Drosophila melanogaster: one gene and its partners. The protein of the gene in region 1 purifies or fractionates together with the protein of each later gene. This does not show direct contact. Each region holds a gene or a part of one and is shown on either strand. Other genes may lie near its edges.

The links. The genes of interacting proteins can lie anywhere in the genome.
Region 2: the proteins of Cyp6a13 (region 1) and hiro purify together in Drosophila melanogaster (affinity purification with mass spectrometry, with the first as the bait; one large-scale study listed by BioGRID). This does not show direct contact.
Region 3: the proteins of Cyp6a13 (region 1) and Sil1 purify together in Drosophila melanogaster (affinity purification with mass spectrometry, with the first as the bait; one large-scale study listed by BioGRID). This does not show direct contact.

What each region holds. Positions count from the first base shown.
Region 1 is NT_033778.4:8,567,039-8,574,561, reverse strand, and holds Cyp6a13 (cytochrome P450 6a13), read right to left. Parts: upstream 4,064-7,523; 5' UTR 4,032-4,063; coding exon 2,550-4,031; 3' UTR 2,415-2,549; downstream 1-2,414. Other genes in the region: CG42326 (uncharacterized protein), read left to right, coding at 302-485, 563-887. UniProt on the Drosophila melanogaster protein: May be involved in the metabolism of insect hormones and in the breakdown of synthetic insecticides.
Region 2 is NT_037436.4:683,103-690,754, forward strand, and holds hiro (highroad), read right to left. Parts: upstream 4,857-7,652; 5' UTR 4,767-4,856; coding exon 4,700-4,766; intron 4,271-4,699; coding exon 3,479-4,270; intron 3,426-3,478; coding exon 3,240-3,425; intron 3,185-3,239; coding exon 2,889-3,184; 3' UTR 2,840-2,888; downstream 1-2,839. Other genes in the region: ebd1 (earthbound 1), read right to left, coding at 1-1,589, 1,926-2,045; CG32483 (uncharacterized protein), read right to left, coding at 5,483-5,778, 5,833-6,018, 6,072-6,857, 6,928-6,979; RabX6, read left to right, coding at 7,518-7,652.
Region 3 is NT_033777.3:25,230,797-25,238,462, forward strand, and holds Sil1 (Sil1 nucleotide exchange factor), read right to left. Parts: upstream 4,734-7,666; 5' UTR 4,602-4,733; coding exon 4,466-4,601; intron 4,403-4,465; coding exon 3,249-4,402; 3' UTR 2,840-3,248; downstream 1-2,839. Other genes in the region: Jhbp7 (juvenile hormone binding protein 7), read left to right, coding at 6,917-6,983, 7,041-7,278, 7,404-7,649. UniProt on the Drosophila melanogaster protein: Required for protein translocation and folding in the endoplasmic reticulum (ER). Functions as a nucleotide exchange factor for an ER lumenal chaperone of HSP70 family.

The sequences.
Region 1 (7,523 bases):
CCTCGATCCAAGTGTAAATAACGGGTTCCGGGTGCCGTTCCCGTGCAGCGGATTGGCATTAGTTGTGTATTATTAGCATTAGAACTTACTTGTGTAACTTAGTTTGTAGCGGCGATCGTTGTGTAAATAACGTTTACTAGCATGTACAGAGGCCCCAGTCCCAGCATAACCGAAAGACGAATCCCCCCAAAAAGCTACTAACCGACCGATTGCATGTCACCGTTTCCCAATTTGATTCCGATTACCATCCCCTAAATCCCGTGTTCTCGACCTCACTAAACTCGCTTCTTGTCCGCTAAAGGCGATGTGGCCTGGCGTCACTACACCGTGTCCGGAAAGCCCTGCCGCCGGAGCAGTCCCTGCGCCAAGAATCTGATCACGGGCTTCTACTCCTGCGAGACGGATGCCTCCGAGGTCGGCTCCTGGGACTACTGCTGCAAGGCGGACCACCCGTGCGGCTACAGCAAGGGATTCGATTATCCATGGTAAGTGGACAGAGCTTTAATGAGCTTACCAATCTGCATGAGAAAGTGATACCTACATAATCCTCGACATTTTCCAGGTGCTTTGTGGGCGATGAGTCGGACCAGTGGCGCAAGTGCAGCGATCGGTACTTCCCCGGAAAGAACGGCACCCAGCCGACCCACTCGCATCTGGGACTGCCCAGTGCCAAGGAGAAACAGAAACATCCACATCCACATCACTCCCAGCCGGCGACGGCGGCCAGCAGCGAATACAGCCAGCACCCACCTCGACCCGGCGGACTGCAGAGCCTCAGTGACTTCGCCGCCGCGCGTCTGTGGCCCGTGACCTACCTGTACAGTGAGGGCCCGCCCAATGCCACCGAGTTCAGCAACTTCGTCGACTGCAACAAGGAGTCGTGCTAGTGGGGAGCGCTGATTTAGATTACGATTAGCAGATTAAGACATGCTTGTGTACTATAGATACCCCAATCCCCCATTCCTCCAATCCCGAACCCTAATCCCAGCCAGATGTACTTGGACCGCGCGGACGTTGTCGTTGTGATCATCATTGAGATTGGATACCATTGTCGTCAGAATCAAATGAAAGCAATTAACTTATTAACTTAACTCCCCTGAATGTTGAATGCAACCCAAATGACAGCTTGCGTGCAGGCATTCTTAGTACCACTAAGCTGAATTGTATGTATTATTAATAAAATTAGTTTTTACGAAAAACGCCTGGCACATGTTTTTCTTGGGTCGATTATTATTTTTTATTTAGCATTTAATGTTAATGCGTTAATGCATTGCGCTTCGTCACTACGTTCACAGTGATTAAAAACTACAATGCAGTTATTTAGGATTATTTAGTACGAGGCATGTAAATTTCTTAAGGGAAAACCATACTTTCTTTTGAGGTTTTTGGTTAACTAAATTACTATATAAACACATATTTGCAATTGTCTTTTTGGTGTTATGTTGTAAGTAAAAAGTTTTAAATCCTATTTCCCAAAAGGTGAATTTGCACATTCGCGGTACCAATCTTTCCGCTCGGAGTAAAAAAGCTTTTTAAGGGCTTTGTAGGCAAAGCAAGTAATTTGTTATGATAGTTTTTAAGAAATTGGATGTTTCTGCACGAGTAGATGTCCAATGAATCAGTATTTTAAGAGCTACGCAACTACAGGCAGGAGCCTGTATCATCCGATTTCATTTTGATAATAACAGGTTTGAAAAGATGCGCATTTACTGAGTTGGTAAGAAACTGACTGATAACAAACTTTTCCAGACGCTATATTAGTCAGCTTTTAAGTGTGAGTAAAGCTGAGTCCATGGGTTTGTCCATGTCATCCACCAACTTGAGTGCTATAGCAATTAGCTTTATTGTCGCTTAAGAAATGCTATGGAACTGTAATAATGTAATAATATGTCTGTAATAAATGCTTAACTTATGATTTGATAATAAAATTTTCATTTCACAATTTAAGTAAATGTGGAGTAAGTTTTTCCCATGTGAAAACTGAATTACTTTATTTATTTATTTTGAAACATAACATAAAGTTTTCCCTAAATATTTAGAAATATTTTTGTTCTGTAATGTATCTTATCTTATTATAATTTGGCTTGCCAAACGTTAGGACAACCTAAATTAGATTTTAAACTATCCTTGTTATTAAAGATTTCTAAATTAAATTTTATTATTATAAAGCTTTTGAGCACAGTATTCTGACAGAGAGTATATACAAGACTGGCTTTTAAAAGCTTTTATTTTATATGTATGTACATACATCTAAAATTCGGATTGGTTAATATTTAAATTCAAAGACACCTTCTTTTAAGAATTCAAATTTCCAGTCAAAACATATTTTTAAGTCGTTTCTCTCCCTCTCTAAAATTGAATTCTTTTTTATTTATTTATCTATCATTATTCAATTGTAAAAAAAGCTTTTTGATACTAGACAGTTTCTTTGTGTTTATTTGTATAATGTAGGGATTAATGCAATCTTGGAACGCAGTCTTTTGTAGATAAGAGTTTTCCTATACATATTTCGCGCTGTCAGGATTATACACATTTTCAGATAACAACTATTATGGTCTTTCAAGTCCTTCCATCCTCAAATGAACTCCCTCCTGGGTGGATATCAGGAAATTACGACTGGAAAACTTCAGCGGGATCTGTGTTTTCTCCGACCTGCTGAACTTAAAATCCCTTAGAAGGTATACAAGACCCACCTTCACTTGCAGTTTACCAAAACGCTCGCCTATGCAATTTCGAGGACCCTCGCCAAAAGGCAAATAGGCGAAAGGATGCCTAGCCTTAATCTCTTCTGGCTCAAAGCGACTGGGATCAAACTTTTCTGGATCGGGATAAAGCTCTGGGTCGTGATGAATACTATGCACAGGTATTATTATCTTAGATCCCGGCTCCAGGATTAGGTTGCTATTCGGTATCTGGTACTCCTTGGTGGAACGCCTCAGTAAGTGAGGCAGTATAGGATACTTGCGAAGCGTCTCGGCAACCACTTGGTCCAGGTAGGGCATCTCCTGAACGGAGTCGTACGTGAGCTTTTGGTTGTTGCGTTTCAAAACGGCGAGTACCTCAACCCGTAGCCTTTCTTGGACATCGGGGTTGAGGGCCAGCTCATACAGGCAGAAGGACATGGTGGTGGAGGAGGTGTCGAACCCGGCCAAAAAGAAAACCAATGCCTGGGCCGCAATCTGCTCGAAGGAGAGGGCGTCTTTTACTCCCTCCTCACCCAATTCCATTAGTAGTTGGATCAGGTCGTTGCGATGAATATTCTCCCGTCGCCTGTAGTCCAATGTCTGGCGTACCGTGTCCAAGAAGAACTCACTGACCTCCGGGCGAAAAAGCCTGAAGCGCAGCTTCCTAGCCAACTCCGGCTGGGCAAACATAAAGGCCTGGACGAGCACCGAATGCAGGGGCTCCTGGGTCACTGATCGGCCCATTCGCCGGAACTGCGACTCCGGATCCTGGAGACTATTACACTCGAGGCCGAAGGCACAGCTGCCGATCACATCCGTGGTGAACCTGGCACACAGATCCTTTGCCTCTATCTCGCCGACCTGGAGGCGACACGCCTGCGTTAGCTTCTCGCCCACCTCCACCATGTTGGGGAACATGAATTTCATCTTGCCGGAGGTGAACACCTGCGTCAAATTCTGGCGCAACCAGCGCCACTCCGGTCCGTCCAGGAAGAGAAGGTTCCCGGTCAGTGGATCGTCCCGCACATTATGGAAGAGTCCTCGATCGGCGAAGCTGGAAAAGTCCCTGATCATTATATCGCGGATCAGTTCCAGATCCATGATAAACAGCGACTTGGTCATAAAAGTGAAGTAGCCGCAGTAGCGCTCCACTCCCCGAAACTTCCGGTAGATCCGCAGGTTGATATCCGTCCAGTGAAGGTCCCTTCCCAGCCCACTCATATTGCCGCGGAAGTACACGGGTCTTTCTCCGGCGACGCCCCTTCTGCTCCAGTAGCTGTAATGCCAGCGTAGCTTGACATATAGCAGAAGTCCGACGGTGAACACGAGTACCAGGAGCGTCAGCATGGTACCTACTGCTCGATAGAATAACAACTGAGTGGAAAAGTGGGGTACATTTGATTTGCCGTCTGAAAAGCTTTCGCTTCGCTCTCTTTTCGGGGACTCTCTTTCTCTATCGGTCTTATATGCAAAGAACTGCAGTTATCTAAACATACATAAACATATCTTGCGTCATTTTAAATGAGAATCAAATGATTTGTAAACAAAATATATAGAGCGTTGCTAATGTTCAGTTTTCAGATCAATTATTATTTGAAAATTTAAAAAACTTCACTGGCTAAGCGTTATTAGATTATTTACAAGTTTTACAAGTACATTCTAAACTTTCCAAAGTTAGTAAAATTCCGAGTCTATATGCGTTCCACTATGGCGCTGCGAGTGTCCGAAGCTAAGGGGATGTCTGTTAGGTCTGAATCACCGAACTTGAAGCGCTGACACAATGCCAATCTTGGCCTGCATTTTGCCAAAACGCAGACCTATGCAACTGCGGGGTCCAAATGTTCCGAAGGGCAGATATGCAAATGGATGGCGGGAGTTGGACTTATAAGCCTTGAGGCGGCTGGAATCGAAGAGTTTTGGATGTGGATATAAGTGCGGATCGTAGTGAACACTGTGCACAGGTATCAGTAATGAAGTTCCCTTCTCAACGATGAGCTCAGTATTGCGGACCCTAAAGCTTTCTTGTGTTTCGAGCAAAAATTTAATTAATTGGATGTTTTCGAAGAGTTTCTAAAAGTTAAGTTGCGCTATCAAATTTTCCATGCTTACCAGACAAGACCTGTTCTGGATAGTTAATTTTAGCTAAGGCGTCGTAAGTAATCGCATTTCCTTCCAGAACCCTTTCTATTTCATCCCTTATTTGATTCTAGATCTCCGGCTGGAGGGCTAGTTCGTACTTACAAGAGCTCATCGTACTGGAGGAGGTCTCGAATCCAGCCAAGAAGAACACGATGGCCTGGGCAGCCATTTGCTCCAGGGTCCAGTTGTGGGAGAGATCAAACTTTGACCCTCCTTGCCTGCTACTTCGTCCTCCGCTCGGAGGACTGGTCCATAAAGTCATTCCGCTTAATGCCGGTTTAACCACCGACAAGAAGAAGTCGGTCAAATCATCGCGAAGAATCTTCATTTTTAACTTTTTAGCCAACTTGGAGTTGGTAACTGTAAATGCGGCCCTTTCTTCTGAACTCGGCTTTGGGATTCGGGATCCACTATGTGCCGATTCCCTTGATGTTTGCAATCAGCGGTAGAGGACGCTCATGGGACACTCCCCGTTCTGGCCCAATATGTGTAGGTGTTGTAATAGAATCTATATAAGCCAACATTGGGACCAAACTGAATAATGCGAGAGTGAGCCGCATGGCGATCAAGATACTTCTTTGGATTAAGCTATCCAGCACACTGGTACGCGAAGTATTTTCTTGAAAGCTTATTGTTAGGTTCTAACGAATTTTCTTCATAGATCTCGGGAGCTTAATCGGCAATCAAGCAAACAATCAAACATATGTACAATATACATATAAACATTTGCTCAGCTTTTGAGTCGACAAAGCTTTTTCCCATGGTGAACTAGACGGTACTAGAAGATAAGGTTGTAAACAAATACTATATACATTGTTTAGTTTAAGTGTACTATTGTACATTGTGATGATATAACTTATTCTTTAAGAGGTAAAGTGAAGAGCATACTAGATTCGTTGAAAAGTTTAAAAGTAAAAGTTTGAAAGTAAAATATAGAAGGAAACCCTTTGAGACTCATATATGTTAGATCAGAATCACAGGAGTTTATATGTACGCCGGACTAAATATGTATGTACATATTTTATGAAATTAGGGCTTGCATATCGCAATCTGATAGTATCTGATAGCCTCCTGTCTTTTTCTATTATTAACCTCGGAAATAACAATAGATAGAAGATAGAATAGATAGAACATTTTTATTATTCCGGTGACTCAAGTTGCCCAATCGTATTCGTTATCAAGAAATTCTGTCAACATGACCACCGTAACAGAAATCGGTGATAAAGAGTCGACGAAATGTTTGGTCTAATGCCTAATGCCGCAAAAATTTGTTGGTAATGCTGAAAAGAGGGGACAATATCAGTTGGGGCTCTATAAATGTACCCGTTATCGCTATAACAATTAATGCAAATGAATTCTTTGTTTCGAGCTTATTTTCCAAGGGGCAAAGAGCTGGCAAGCAATTTCATGAAAAATACACATGTTCAGACATTTAGCTTGCAGCTCAAAGTTTTCTTCTGAATGCGCAGTTGTAGCCTCCTTCCAGGACACTTTTTTATTCGACTCCTAGAGTGTTTGTCCTCTTAATTGAAATGTGAGCCTGGGCGTAAACAGGAAAAGAAAACATCAGTTTATTGACAAGTTGTTGATGATTTGCTAGACGATTTGCTTGCTGCCTTTTGGCCTTTGCATCTCACCTTTAATTAAACTGAATCCTGTGACTAGGCCCAGAAATCAATTCAAGCGTAAACTCAATAAAACTGACACAAAATCAAGACGCTGGTGTCACTGAATTCCCAAGGCGTGTTACAAAGTTGCGGGAATATTTACGCGAATGCGATTAAAGGCCCATTAAACGCTTTTCTTGGGGCAGCACGCTGCTCCCAAGGAGGCGACACTGAAGTGGGTGGATCCCCAGCTTCCCCCTCCCTGCAGGACTTCTGTCTGCTTCCTAGTAAATAATAAAACGAAGTCGCGCCTAAAAGCATTTTGTGACCTTGTGCGGGCGTGTGTGTGCTGTTCTGGGTGCTTAAAGGATTTGGGCCTAATGCTCACGGCCCGTTTTATGCCGCTAATGCGCCATCTTCCAATCGACATAAAAATCGTAATGCCGCAGTTAAAGGCAGCTCGAGCCATAAAACAAAAGCTGGAATTAAATAATAATGCAGGGCCAACGGATATTATGCTTATTAAAACTAAATTGCTTTTTGCTGATTCTCATAGGTTTGCGGCATTTCGGGAGCATAGTTAAAAGCAAACCAATTATTAATAAAATACGGAGTAATGTCACTGTATTTGCAGTACCTTTTAAAAAGGCAAACTTGTTTGTTGATTCGTAGTGCAAACCAATTTAGGTATTATTCTCGTGATAGTCAATATTCAAAACGTGTTTGGAAACTACCTTTCAGTGTGACTAACGTCTTATTGACGCTGGCTAGTTTAAGAAAGTTGCTGTCAATGCATCCTCTTACAATTGTGCTTTTAAATTCTAAACCTGTATTCCATAGATACAAAATAATTGTTTATTTTGTTTGCGGGAAGTCAAGCTCTCTAAAGCGTGGCAAAGCTCAACAGAAATCCAAAATCATCGTGCCTCAGTTGTCCCTAAACGCTGATTCAGTGAAGTCGTTTACGCGATAAGTTTACTGTGTGAAAAAGAAATAAAAGTTTCGTCAGCCTTTAGGTGGAATTCCCTCTATTGGTTGTCCGAAATCGGCAACATACATTTGTTTAACACCAACATTTGTCTTTGCTTTACCA
Region 2 (7,652 bases), on another chromosome or scaffold:
TCGGCTCGTGTGATCAGCTCAATCAGCCGGTAGTTCTCCTTGTACAGAGCAAACTCCTCGAGTAGCTTTAGGTACTTGCGTGCATCGGCGCAGCTGATGACACTGGACCCACTTTCTTGGCCGGATCCCCCATTGTTGTTATCGTCTTGGGCGGACTCATAGCGACGTTTGGTGCCCTGGCGAGGATTCAGCGAGTTTTCAACTGCCGCAGGCGAACTCACCTTTCGCTGCCGCATCTGCTCGATGTACTCCATCTCGTCCTCCACATTGGCCGCCAGAACCTCGGCCAGCGAGGTGACACTGGAGCGACCATTGTTCGCGTCTTCATCGAGATCCGCTGGGTCTTGGTCCAGTTCCGATTCCAGCTCAGCCTCTGGCTCCACTTTTATGTGCACTGTAGGCGGAATTTCAAGATCCTTTTCCCTTTGTGCTCGGTCATCGTTCTCCTGGAGCTCCGCCTCGGGCTGCTTCGCCAGGAGCTCTTCCGGGTCCTTGGGCTCCACTTTGATTTCCTTTTCCTGCTTGATCTCTAGTTTGGGCGGCGGTACCACCGGTCCTTTGTCCTGCTGCTGTGGGGCAGGAATCTTGGTGATGCTCTGAGCGAGCGTGGCTAGTGGTATGATGGTCATGGTCATGGGCTGTCCGCCCGCTTGCGTCGGAACAATGGGTGTGGCCAGGAGAACTTTTTGAGTGGTGCCTGGCGGTGTGTTAGCTTGGAGGGGCAGTCTAACTAGAGGCGGCAAGGGCTTCAGAGCCCTGGCAAAATTTAGTTCGCTTAGTGAGGGCTTGACATCAGGCTCCTCCTCCAGATCATCCTCGCCGCTAATACCGCCACCGTCGACATCCACCTCGTCATCCTCGTCTTCTACATAGCTGCGGGGATGGCTGCTCACCGGGCTGCCCAAGCTGACCTCTTCGTCATCCTCCTCGCCGTTCCGTGGCCCACTTTCCGGCATGCTTTCCGACATGACGTCCTTGACGATGTCCTTGATCTGCACCGAGTAGCCCTGCGTGTAGCCTATCTTCAACAGTCTGGTGTCGCTGTGTTGGATGCTGTAGGTGCGTCTGAACTTGTCGCACCACTCCTGGTGCGGAAAGAAATGTGCCAGGTTCATGGAGCTCTTGAACTGCAGCGCCATCTTCTGGATGAGTCCGTCGGAGATGCTGAAGTCCTTGTAGTACATCATGCGGCGTATCCAATCGTACACGGCCTTGCCCAACATCGAGACCCTGACGGTCTTCGTCTCCATGGTCTTGGCGTCCTGGCTCCTGCGGGTTCGCTGATCCCACGCGTTCAGAATCTCAGCGCGCTGCTGCACGATCCGCTTGATCTGATCTGGGCTGCAGTTGAACAGCCGGCCAACGTGCTTATAAACCGGCAGCCGATCGTATTCCCGCAGAGCAGCAACCTTTTCGTTGAGGGCCAGGACATTCTTGCGCTTGATGCGATTGTCGAAGGCCACCTTCTCGGCGGCCGGCAGGCTGGGGGTGTGCGTGCTAGTGGGTGTGGGTGATGCAGTCGAAGTGGGTGCTGCTGGTGGAGCAGGCGCAGGCGCAGGAGCTGGTGTGAGAACCTCCGTGTCAGTGGCCTAACGACGAAGGGAAAAAAAGTGCTGTTATTACCGGGTTTTATGGTAACAGTTGAAATCGTGCAAAGTAATGCCACCATGAATGTAGAGATACAGTGCTCCCTCTGAACATGAATAATGTAGACAAAACAACAGAAGGTCTTTGCATATTTAGTTATGTTAACAAAAGCAACAGTTAAGAAAGACGAAGTTTCAAGGAATACATGGGGCTTTTATACTCATACTCATTCAAGCTTATATACAAATAAACGCCTAGATCAAGTCATTTACACTCGTGTTCTTTGAGAAGTGAAATGGGGTGGAAACACTTTGCGAGGCTTGACTGTGGCCACTTACCTTCGCCTTGTTGTTGTTGTCCTGCGTCTTGGAGGCCTCCTTGTGCTCCTTTTTCTCCCTCTCCACGCGCTTCTCCACCCTCAGCTCCCTCTGCAACTTGCGTTTTTCGCGTATCCGCATTGTTTGTGCTTTCCGTGCAATTTACACGGCAATTGCCGTTTGTTTTCGTCTTGTTTGTTTTTGTTGCTGCTGCTGCGCCCACTCAATTTCGCCCACCCCTTGCACCCTTTCTGCTCTCTCACTCACACACCCGCCCGCCTGTGTGTGTGTGTCCGTGCGGCTGTGTGTGTGCGATGGCTACGATTATGCGCGTTGACTGTCAAGCGAATTCAAATCATTTCGTCACTGCTTTTCTCGCTTTTCTTTGGCCTTTCAATGCGCTTTGGCTCTATTCGCTTTCGTTTTCTCTTCCTAGGCACTCGATTTGTCTTCTGATTGTGATTTTCCAACTGGCCGTGCGCTGCACCTTGCGTATTTTCCGATGTCCGTGCGAACTAGACGACGACCCATACAAAAATAGCTGCCGCGTTATCTCGCGCAGTTTTCATTCTCTGCTCGCTCCCTCTCTCGCTCTCGCATGCGCAACGTGGGCAACTAGAACGGAAGGGAAGTCGGCGTGTGCGAGAGTGTGTGTGCGTGTGACCAGCTGAGAGGGTGCAACTGCGCATGCGACAACTTTACTGTTACTTTCGCCATGTGGCAACTCTGCAGGCGATCGCTTTTTAAGTAGAGTAAGATTAATGAGAACATACATATGTATGTATGTATTTTGTTTTCAGTTTAAGAATGAATTGATTTCACAAGATCTGCAACTAACTGCACTGTAAAATATAACTATAAAGTCTTTGCGAATTGTAATCAATATTTAATTTAAATTAATCGAACCACCACCAATTGGAAACCCACGAGTCCATACATTTCGAAAATAATCTTTATTTTAACGCTTTTCTCCGGCTAATTTGTTTAACCGAATTTGGTGAAGTGTCGCAGGATGTGCGACATGGCCGCGGGATTATCGGCAGGAACCATGTGACCAGCCCGGTTGACCCAAAACATGCTGAAGTTGCCATAGGTCTTCTCGTAACCCTCGAGAACTCGATCTACGGTGATTCCCACGCGCGGAGAGACCTGGTAAGATGGCTTGGCGGACCATTCCATTGCTTCGATCCAGTTGACGGCTCCCGGAGTGGCGCAAATCAGGTCCAGTCCTCCGGAGAACACGCCCACTTTTACGGTGGTGTTGTTCAGCAGTTCACCCACTAAAAGTGTCATAAGGCTATAATTTGAGGTAGCACCCAGACGGTTGAAACATACCAACATCCACAGCTGGCTTCATGAAATCGCCCATCAGCTTGGTGAAGGTGGTGCCGCTCTGGGCGCCCCATTTCACTCCGGTGTTGATTCCGAGGGCCTCGGTCACGGGTCCAAGCATTAGATCCTCCAGCAATTTGTCGCGGTCCTCATCCACATCGAATTTCACGAGGGTGCGATACATGACCTCTGGATAAGTGGTTGATGAGAATCAGCTCGGTAAGTTACGCAACGGATCTTACCCTCCGGAGTCATGGCAGCTCTGGACATCAACCTGTACTGATCACCCAATGTTGGGGTCTCCACGTTATAGAAGTCCACTCCCTTGGACTCGCGCAGCACCACTGACTGGGTGGAGCTCCACTGCAAAGTGGCCTGTGTCCACTTCTCGCGGTCAACATAGTCCTTAGTCTTCAGGGCCGAAGCTTCAATCTTGTCATGGCCATCCTGATCCACGATTCCCAACTGCAGCAGGAAGGGAGCCCACGAGAGCACAGAGTCTATGGGTGAGGTCCAGGGATCTCCCAAGGCCACCGAAACAAAGTTGCTCTCGATCTCACCGCGCTTGATGGCGTAATCCAACTCCAAAGCGAACTCCGGGGCCATCTTTCCGCCATAACTCTCGCAGAAGATGTGCAGCGGCACAGTCTTGAATTCCGGGTGGTTTGTGTAGAAGCCCTTCATCAGCTCAACGAGATCCAGGGCGATCTGCTTGTTGTTGGTCGTGTAGTAAGAAGATCCGTCCACGTAGCTGAAACCACTGCCCACGGGATTGTCGATGAACATCACGTTCATGTCCTTCACCCAAGTCCAGTCGCGGTAGCTGCCGTCGAGCTTCAGGGGACCCAACTCCTCAAAGTTTCCGTATCCCGTTGAGGAGGCACCTGGACCTCCTTGGAGCCAAATGGCCAGCGGACGCTCCGTGTAACTGGAGACATTGGCGGTGGTGTAGTACAGCCAGTAGAACATGTGGGCGCCAGTCCTGACATCCACAAATCCCCAATCCTGATCACCGGGTCCATAGCCCTTGCGTGCTGAGAGTATATTGAATTATAGCTCATTTCGATTAAATAGTTATTAATATACAAAGCTCTTTGATTTTGTAATTTCATGATAGCCCCTGATTTCTAGGGAACACTTGAGAAATCTAGCCTTTAAGTATATTAAACGGCTGCACGAGTAGCCATTTAGATAAGATTAATTGTTATAGATAGTGTAGATAGTTGATTGTATTGTCTTATAACAAACCGAATAGCGGTTGGTCACTGTATCTTTTACAATGGTAATAAGGTCTGTCCCCAAACGATTCATAAGTATTTCAATCTACGGATATAAAAGTAGGTAAAAAAGTCTGTAACAGATAATTCTGTTGGCCTGTTCTACAAGTCGTAAAGAACCGTTTGTTTTGGAACACTTTCTCACTGATTAGCACCCCTAATTGGAATACAAATCACGATTCTCACCGTCAACGGAAGCCAAGCCGGCAAATCCCAGTAGGGCCAAAAGTGCGATGATAGCGCGTCCAGCCATGTTGCACCAGTGTTTCAGTTCCAATTCCAAGAGACACCGATCGAGAGACAACCGCACACTTGGCAGTTCCACTGCCAATTGATCGCTGGTTGCTCCCAGACATCGAAGGTAAAATAGCAACAGCCAGCACCTGACACACCTGGAATTCGTAATCTGCGGGCAGGGGAACTGTGTTTGCAGAGTATTTATGGCCCTTCGCTGGACGGTGACGCGGCTTTTTGGTCAATCTGTGCTTGTCACTCGTCCGATTTGCCGAATCTTTGTGTCATATATTTAGATAGAGCCTATGAAGCTCCAAAATCATCGCAAAGATTGCACTTTGCTATCTTGAGTGGGTTTTCCGAGGGCTTTTCCTATTATTTTTCGGTATCACTTGCGGTTTATCCCACGTGACATGCGTGAAAGATATCTAAGGTGTCTCCCAAAAACTCTTTTTAAATCATCAGCATTCTTTGATTGATTGACTATATTATTTTTAGGTGTTCATATAATCATATATGCATCAATTCTGGGCATTGCTTTTTAAAGAGCAGATTAAGACATACATTTGACATTTATCAAAATAACTAATAGGATAACTTCCCCAGCTTCTATAAGCAAAAAATCCATTACGATTTACATTATATACTTTCAGTAAAACACTCCTCTATTTTTAGACGAATATAGTATACAACTGGCTTGCATACTGAGTTTATTATAATTCAATTTAAATGAATTTAGCCAAATGAGGTAAACTCTCGAAGTACATGACTCATAGCCGCAGGGTTGTCCGCCGGAGCCATGTGACCACTTCGGTTGATCCAGAACATGGTAAAGTTACCGCCCGTCTTTTGATAGCCCTCCAAGATGCGATCCACCGTGATGCCATTGCGTGGAGCAGCCAGGTACTCGTCCTTTCGGCTCCAGTCCAGCTTGGCTATCCAGTTGACGGTGCCCGGTGTGGCGCAAATCAAATCCAGGCCACCGGAGAATACGCCGACCTTCAGAGGAGTCTTCTCCAGCAATTCGTTCACTGTCATTCAATGGATGTCAGACGCTTTCGTTATATAAGAAGTAATATCCCTACCAATGTGGATGACTGGCTTCATGAAGTCCGTTCTGTGGATGTCAAAAGTGGTCCCACTCTGCGATCCCCAGATGACATTCGAAGGTATACCCAGGGTTTCCGCCACCGGGCCCCGCATCAGATCCTCCAGTAACTTGGTTCGATCCTCATCAATATCGTATTTCACCATGGTGCGATACAGACGTTCTGCAGGGAAATATCATGGTTTGAAAAATATCGTATCGAAGTATTTGGTTCACCTTCGGAGGTCAAGGCCTTTGATCTCTGGTAGAGACCACCCTTTGTCTCCTTCAGCACGTTGTAGAAGTCCACACCCTTGGAGGCTTTCATCACCTCCCACTGGGTGTTGCCCCACTGATAGGTGGCCTGAATCCATCGCTCCTCCTCCACCAACTGAGCCGTGAAGTTCGCTGCCTCTTGAATGGCATTGTATCCCGCGTGGTCCACGATTCCCATTTCTCTGAGAAAAGGTCCCCATGCGAGCACGGAGTCGATGGGCGAGGTCCATGGATCCCCCAAAGCCACCGAGGTAAGGTTGCTCTTGACCTCACCACGCTTCTTGGCGTAGTACAGTTCGAGTGCAAACTCCGGCGCCATCTTTCCACCGTAACTCTCGCAGAATATATGCAGCGGCACCTCCTCGAACTCTGGATGCAGGGTATAGAATCCCTTCATCAGCTCAACCAAATCTAGAGCGATCTCCTTATTGGTGGCCGTGTAAAAGGCCGTGTTGTCCACGTAGCTAAAACCACTGCCTACGGGGTTGTCAATAAAGAGGACATTCATGTCCTTCACCCAGGTCCAGCTGCGCCAATCTCCGTACAAATCGACGGGCCCAAGTTCTTCAAAGTTTCCATACCCCGTCGAAGAGGCACCGGGACCTCCTTGGAGCCAAATGGCTAATGGTCTTTCGGTATAGCTCGAAACATTGGCGGTGGTGTAGTACAGCCAGTAGAACATGTGGGCACCGGGACGCACATCTACGTAGCCCCAGTCCTGCTCTCCGGGACCGTATCCGGGTTTGCCTAGGATGCGCCATTAGTTCATTTAAAGATTACCACATTTCAGAGATAGCGCTCGATTTACGATTCTTACCATGCGCCAAGGCGGCGAACAATGCCAGGAGTGCTACCAACCGAATCGACATTTTCAACTGAAAGTGATACTCAAGCGCACGGGCTTATTTAACGGGTACAGCACTATCAGCAGAACTTGACATCAGATAATAGTTTTTCAAAAATGATAACTTCTATCGATCTGGTTCTTTCAATCATTCAGAAGAGGGATGATAATCATTTTTGAATTTGTATATTCCCTTTTAAAAAGAAGTTGAATATCTGTTTATGTACGTATATTTAGGTACAACTAATGTTGAAACGATAACTTCCTCCATAAATAATCCCTTTTTCATAAACAATTTTACAATATTGTATATTATTATTATAATGGGTGGAATTGTTTTGCCTAAACTAAAACCAAATGCAGATCTCAACTGATAAGACCATTTGAATTCGAATAACTCGAATTATCGGTTATCGATAGCGTTCAAATGGCTGGCAACTCTGCGATGTTGGCTGTTTTTGCACAAACAGCTGTTGTCGCACTGTTGTTGTCGCCTTTGTGTCTGCAGGTGCAAAATAATATATTAATTGGATTAACTTGGGATTAATCGAGCGATCACAGCCATGGCCACGATGCGCATACCCAAACAAAAGGTGATCCTGTGCGGCGACTACGGAGTGGGCAAGAGCTCCCTGTTCCGGCGCTTCGCCACCAACACCTTCATCACGGATACGGACAGGAAATCCACGTTGGGACTG
Region 3 (7,666 bases), on another chromosome or scaffold:
TTAGCTCAGTCACTTCACTTGATGTTCTTTAGCACTTTCCATACTCCATTTGTAATGCCCTTGTTTAACCGGTACGTGTTTTTTATTTAAGCAATAACTTTGCGTCTATCTGTGATGTGCCATAAACGAATTGAATTTATGTGCAACTTTTCCTTTGTTTAGCCCTGTAATTGGCAAAATGGCAATTTGAAATGGATAATGTAGGGGGCTTCACAGGGGCAACTGGAGTCTTCTAGATTATTACAAGATTATTAGATAGACAAAACACTCTGGCACAGAAACCAAAGCAACTGGAACATTAGCACTCCCCACCGACCAACCTTCTAGCAACTGAATGTTGTTCTTCATCTTTAGCATAAACCCCCTCGTACACCACCTCCCCTCCCTTACACCATTGTCTTCTGGTTGTGGGGCAAATGTCGCACACATGTTACCTCCAAGTTGCGCGTTTGGAGGTGGATGTCGGGAGTGGGGTCGCTGGCTCGGTTGCCACATTGTTGTCACCAACGGAATTGGCGGCATTCTATTCCGCCAGGAACTCCAAGAATAATACAAGCGAAAAGGGGATGATACAAAACCGAAGCTAGGAGTACTCTTTCTTGGTCGCCTTTTACCTATCCGAACTTTACCAACCTTGAATTGATTATAATAAGTTCATCCATATAAAATAGGTATGAAGATCAGTCTGTTATACCCTCATGGACTTAAAGAGTATATAGACAACAGCAGCCACTGAAGACGGTGGCAATGTTTTTGTTTTTGTTTCCTTGGTTCCGGTATTTTCGAGCGAGTGGAAGAATTCGAAACGCCCGTTTACACGGGCCAAAGGAGCTTCCTCCTCCTGGACAGGATTTATGGCATACCACAGCAGGTGGGCGGGTGTTTTGAGGATGAGGGAGGAAAGCGTGGGGAGTGGGAGGCGTGCTGCATCGTTTGATGGCTGAATCCGGAGGTTTGGGGGACAGACAAACATTTGCATACAAATCGCATAGCTGGCCGTTGGCCGATGGCGAAAATGAAAACGCTTTTTTGACCGGAAGCCCGCGGAAGCGCACAAAAAAGTCATTCACCTGTGTAAAAACGGTTACATTTTCCGATATTCGCCTGTGGCGCAGACTGTGAACTTGTTTTCCCCAGGGGTTTTTCATTCGGATAAACTGTTAACTGATTTACGGCATATGGGAGATTTAATTGGTGACAATTTATGGATTCCGGTAATGACAGCAAGTAGGGCTGATAAAATAAGATGAAAAGGAAAGTACTTCATTTAATAAAAAACTGATATTATAAAAAGGAATCACCAACTGAGCAGCTTAGTATATGCTGATTTTTATACTTTGAACTACATATATGCTTCACTGTACTTTATGTTTTACAAACACGCACTTAATCCTTTCGTGCTTTATCTTCCAGGTGCACTAAATGTTAGTTATTTCATTGTTTTGACCGCGATTGCAACGGACAAAGAACAATGTTGGCCGAAACGCTTTCAGTTAGTACTCCGCAGCGCTGAACGAGCTCCTCGCCTCGCGATCCAAACACAAACTGATTTTCCTTCCATAATGTAGCCAAAGTCGCGCCCCCTAACAACCGACGGCAATAAAAGCAGCAACAGCCTGTGAAGCCGGTGTGCGCTCACTATCAACATGCATGCACACATGCGACAGTCGCGGTCACAAAAATAGTGATCTTTCATACGCTTTCAGAAGGAATCTCCAGAAGAAACCTTCAAAATGGGAAACCATTTTTGAAATTTTGAAATTATTTTGTTATCGTAGACAATTGTAAATGATGCATAAATTGAAATTTTTGTTCACTTTTAGCTTTTAAAACAGTCGCAAAGAATCTTAAAAAAAAAACTTTTGAATTATTGTATACAAAGTGAAACCACATCCCAGAATTTCAAAAAAAGCGAACTTGATCTAATTGAAAATATTATAAGTCCAACTGCAATTCTTGATGGGATACCAGGCTTTCCCAGTCAAGCTCCTACCATTTTGACCGCTGCTGTGGCTAAACGGTGGAAGCCTCTCTTTCGCTTGTGTCGAAAATGTTTCCACATCACTCGTCAAGCGTAAGCGTTTCGGCTGGAAAGCGGCAAGAGGCAGGGGGAAGCGTAGCGGCGGTGGGGCAGTGCCATGACAACAACAACAGCTCGCCGCCACTGCGCACGCGCCCCAGCTGGAATTGGAATTGATGAGTGAATTCCAGTTCAGGAATCCTCTCCTGCCTCTCTGCGTTGTGCTCCACTGAGCCGGCTTTGCAACCCCTTTTCTCTGTTTACATTGCATGGAGTAGCCATGGGAACCAAGGCGGCGTCCTAGCCGGCTCCCTTCCAGGCGCTGCTTCACCTTTACCACTCCACCTATCCGACCATCCACCGTCGTGACTCAGCCCCAGTGACATTGCATTTGCATGTGACTGCCGCTAATTGCTGTAATTCCCGCGCTGGACTTCGACTCCAACTTCCAACTTTGCCGGCACATAATTGCACTCTCCTGCTCCGATGTCCTTTCTCCTCCTGTACAGTTCCGTGCCAGGTTTTCCCTGTTCTTGTGGCTTCGTTTGGCTCACATTCAAACTTCAAGTGGTTTTTTGGGACATGCTTTCCTCGGCGTTTTTGCTTTCCTTCCGACACTTTTGACTTACTTTATGGCCCGGTCGATTATGCTCGCCTTATCGGGCTTTAAATGGGTCTGTAGTTCTATAGGGGTGGAATATCCAATCTCCTAATGCGATTTCTTGATTGAAAATACATTTCCTTTCATAATTTAGCACTACATTTTAAGAATATGCCACTGAAAAGAAGTCAACTGATTTAAGAAAGAATTTCTAAATTAAACATTAGGTCATTGCTTTATTATTGTAGCTACAATAAACAAGAACTTAAGGCTTTAAGGATTCATAATCTGTTTGGAGAACAATTCTGTAGCATACAAATTTTTGCTAGTTTAATGACGTGTAACAACATAATTATTTTGATGTGCTCGTTGGTGAATCGTCTGCCTATTAAAAAAAAATCACACTTAAAATAATCTTAAGTAAGAGACTATATTTGATAACGAAAATCCTGTAGATGTTTGGCATGATTGATTGCTATCCTAAGTTAATGACAAAGAGCATTATTTTTGCATCACAAGTACTTGGCATCTTAGCTATCGTATTCTATGGTTTGGCTGCGAATTTCATTCCAACTCAGCTTACAATTAAATGAAATTAACATAAATAACATAGTAAATTGGCTAGGATTACAGTTCGGTGTGCTTGGGCTTGTTGAACAATCTCTCGCACAGTTTGGCCAAAATCTGGGACACCTCCAGTCGGTACTCGTCCGTGCTGTTGGCATACCGATTGCGAACGGTTAATAGTGCATGCCTGAGACCGGAACTTTGCGACCACGTGCTGGTGCACATATCTTCGGTGGTCTCCAATGCGGTGGCAAACTGTTCCACCACCTCCGGTTGCTCTAGGAGGAGCAGGAACTCCTTGGTTAGCACAGTGTCCACCGCCGCGCAGTAGCCCGGCGTTTTCAGCCACGACTCGAAGTCCAAGAGCACATATTGCGCCATTGTGGATGAGGCTTCGGGATCATCTTTGCTGACATCCAGCACTGACCGCTTCTCCAGCACTAGGTCGCTTATGAGAGTCACTACCTTCGCCTTGCTCCGCAGCTCCACATCCGGACTCTGGAGCACCTTGATCAGAGCCTGTGTACCCGAGGTGGAAAGCACTCGCTGCTGGGCTAGCGGAAATTTCCGCAACAAGGCTCCAAAGGCGTGCAATGCAGCGGAGATCTCACCGACATTTCCGGAACTGGTCAGAATCTGAGCCAGATGAGACCCGAAATTCTTTTCGAACACCTTGATCTGGGCCTTGGGATTGTTGCTCGCCAGCGAGCCCAACACACGCATGGCCGACACTCTCAGGGATGTACTGGTATCGTTCACAACAATGGGCAGTAGTACATCATCCAATCCCCCATTATCAATGAACATCAAGGCATTGTCTATCTGATGGAGCAAATACTCCAGATTTTCCAGGCAGTCCAGCTTGGAGCGCATCTCTGACTCTAGCGGCGTTCTGCTGAAGTTCCGAAACTGATCGATTAACTGGACGATCAGTTCTCCGTCGGTGCGAAAGTTCTTCTGGAACTCTTTGTACGCTTTGCGTAGCTCGGCATAGCTCTTCTTCTGCTCCTTGACCCGCCGTATAGACTCCTCGATTATGTCCGGTTTATAGTCCAGAGCCAGGGGTTCGTTGTCATCGTGAGATTCCCGAGCATTCTGATCATCCGGTTGACTCTGCAGCGACGTGCCACGTTCGCTTTCGTCTAAGAGTTTGGCTTCCTTGAGCCCCGTTTGTAGGTTGATGCGCACGTGCAGGCCCCTTGGAATAGCTTGACCTGGAAATATAGAGTGCTCACTTAGTACACGTCATCCGAGAGTTAGCCTGGCTAGCCATTAACCTTCCGCAATCGTCTGCCATTCGTCGGTGGCCACGAAATCGTTGGTTTTGTTATCCGTTTCCGTTGCCGCTGCCACTTGTAAGCATCCCAGGATCAGGACACTGCCCAGAAGGATGACTACCTGCTTGCCACTCATACTGCTTCAGCTTGTCTTGCCTCCAGAATGTATTCAGTCTTTATTTCACCTGGTTTTAAGTAAGTTTCGTGAGAGTTTTTAAATCAGATTTCAGACTTCTGATGTGGATGTGGTTAATAGTATGACCGTAGGGAGCTGCATTGATTATACCGCATGTGGCGATATGTTCCGTGGAGAGCCAGTCGATTCGGAACCAGTCAAAGGCGGTTACAATTCAATTTCAAATTTGAAAATATTTGTAATCAATAAATTCGTTATAAACAATAGAATATATTAAAGTATTGAAAAAGTGTAAACTATATGTATGCTTTATAATCTTTCTTTATATTTATTAGATTGTGCTGTTGGACATTCCAAGCCAAATCTTATATAAATAAGTAATACAAAAATTAAGTAAAAATTTTTATGGTTAATTTTTGCTCTTAGTCCGGAATAGTTGGAAACTTTAAATGATTTCAAACATTATTTCGCTAACAAATTAATTTTTATCCCTAACGAACACAAATATTAATATTTTTAAACCTTAGTTTGTTGTGAAAAACAAGCATTGCTAGAAATTTCCAGACTTGAAATTAATATTTAAGAACCAGAAAAAGTTAATGCCATTCAGAACGATTAAACCACATCAAACCAGAATGCCACCAAAAATTCCCAAACTCATCGTGAATTCATTAAAAATTGAAAAGTAACCGCCATTCATAAGCTTTCCACTTCGTTACAACGTAGCTAAACTAGTTATAAACTAAACGTATTTACTGAGTTTACAAAGAAAAACGAAATCATGTTTACGCGCAGATGAATCAACCAACTCAAAATTGAAATGCCAAATTATTTGCAGGCAAGCCCGACGTAATAAAATAAAAGCGTGTTTGCATATATTACCATATTTCGCCCCCGAAAATCCGTTGTAATCTCGATGTCTACGACAGCGTCTAGGAATTGGCTGCGCAAACACATCAAAGTGGACAAAAGTGAAATATTTGGACTCACCTGGCGCCAATTGGATGGGTAAATAAACAGAATGCCGGTTTCATGCCAATCACACACCAAATATACATATACATATGTATATATGTAGTATATGCTAATTGCTGATGACGAACGCCAGGAGCCTTTAACTAGAATTTGCCAAATTAAATTCACTCGGCCCGTTCCGAACGTCGCCTGTCCAATAGTTTTGAAAGTGAAGCCACCTCGCCGAGCAACTTTTATCCGTCGATCCATCCATTATCGATTATCGATGCCGTTGGAACCTGTTTGATGTCGTCCAAAATGCCCGACTATGTCTAATTGGTTTATGTCGGAATTGAGTTGTGTTGGCCACAAAAAGATTTATCTTCGTACATATGTCCAAAACGGAAATTTCATAGTTGGGAGCCTTGGGATGCATTCTTCCTTCTGGTCGGAATACAATTTCATAACTTAAGTGATTTTTATCGTGGATCCTTAACCATGACCTATTCATTATCATTCCCTTTCAGATTGCCTGGCCATTTAGCACACTTAGGAATTCCCCCAGAGGTAGGTTCCCAATTCCAAGTGCTGATCTCAAAGCAAATATGGGATGAATAATATCATAAGCCAATAAGTACGAATTGATATTTGCACTTTATTAAAAGTGTGAACAAAGCGCGGATTCCATTTCACGGAGTTTGAATCTATAAAAAGTACACAAGATGCCGAAATATAGTGCAAATTATATATGTATAATTAAATTATATATATATATAATGCATTGCAGGATAAGTGGAAATATATTGGTTAATTGCTTGAAAACTGACTGGATTGAGCATTAAAATTTTGAGTTTCGCTGCCTTTTGTGCGCGTTGCCATTGTTATTGTTTATTGTTATTTGTTGCTGCATGCTAATAATATTAATTAATAATAATGCTGCTGCCAATTCTGGTTAGGGGTAGCTGCGATAAAGATAAAGACTGCGATGTCTATGATGATGAGGAGAATCCATAACACGAAGCGAAAGAGATATACACATACGAATAAATAAAAAAAAAATATAAATAAAAATAGCCAGCAATCAGACAGACAACAACAACAGCAGCAGCAGCAACAACAAGAAAAACAAGGGCCAAGACGCGACAAGTCAGGAATGAATAAACTATGAAGTGTACTGGTTGTTGTTGGCCACATTTGTTGCCGCTCCATCGTTCTGGCCGATCAGAAATTTTATAAATGCCGCCGTCTGTCCAGAGCCGATTTACAGTTTGCCATTGAACCTGGTCGGGCATTCGCCAAATCGTCGAGCGGTTGAATTTCGGGGCGCTTGAATTTCGTACGTAACTAGATCCATATCCAGAATGATGCTGCTCCAGCTGGGCTGCGTGGCCCTCTTCTGCTGCTTGGTTAGCGGTGCCTCGAATTTCCGTGAGTCCTTTGGCCAACAATCCCAGTGCTTCGCTAATCGCCAGCTTATCCTTGCAGCTCCCGAACTGCCGCGCTGCCACATGGGCGACACCAGCTGCATCATCAACGTGTCGCACATGCTGATCAGACAGCACGCGAGGACCGGCTATCCGTCCGCTGGATTCCCCCAGGTGGAGCCCTTCCTGATCAAGCGCTTCGACATCTCCGACGGACGCACTGGCTCCCTGAATCTAAAGCTCAACTTCAGGGACGTGAATGTGGAGGGCCTGTCCAGTGTGAAGTTCGACAGAGCCGTGTAAGTAGCAAGTGAAATGAAAAGTGATTTCCTTCTTAAGCAAAAGTGAAGAAGTTCTCATGTTTATTAACAGAAGAAGATATATTAAGTTGATTGCACTTATCCATCATAATCGTATTTTTCAGTGGCTTTGGCGCTGATCCTGCAACCAGCAAGTTTGAGATGTACGGATCCTTTCCCAAGATCGTGCTGAAGGGCAAGTACGTGGCGGATGGACGCATCCTGATCCTGCCGATTCGTGGCGATGGCGATGCCGAGATCGTGTTGCACAATCCCAAGTTTTCGGTGAAATTCAAGCCGGGCACACAGCAGCGCAATGGACGCACCTACCTGAGCGTGGATAAGCTCAAGGTTCTGGTGGAGCCACAAAAGTAGGTGCAGTTCGGAT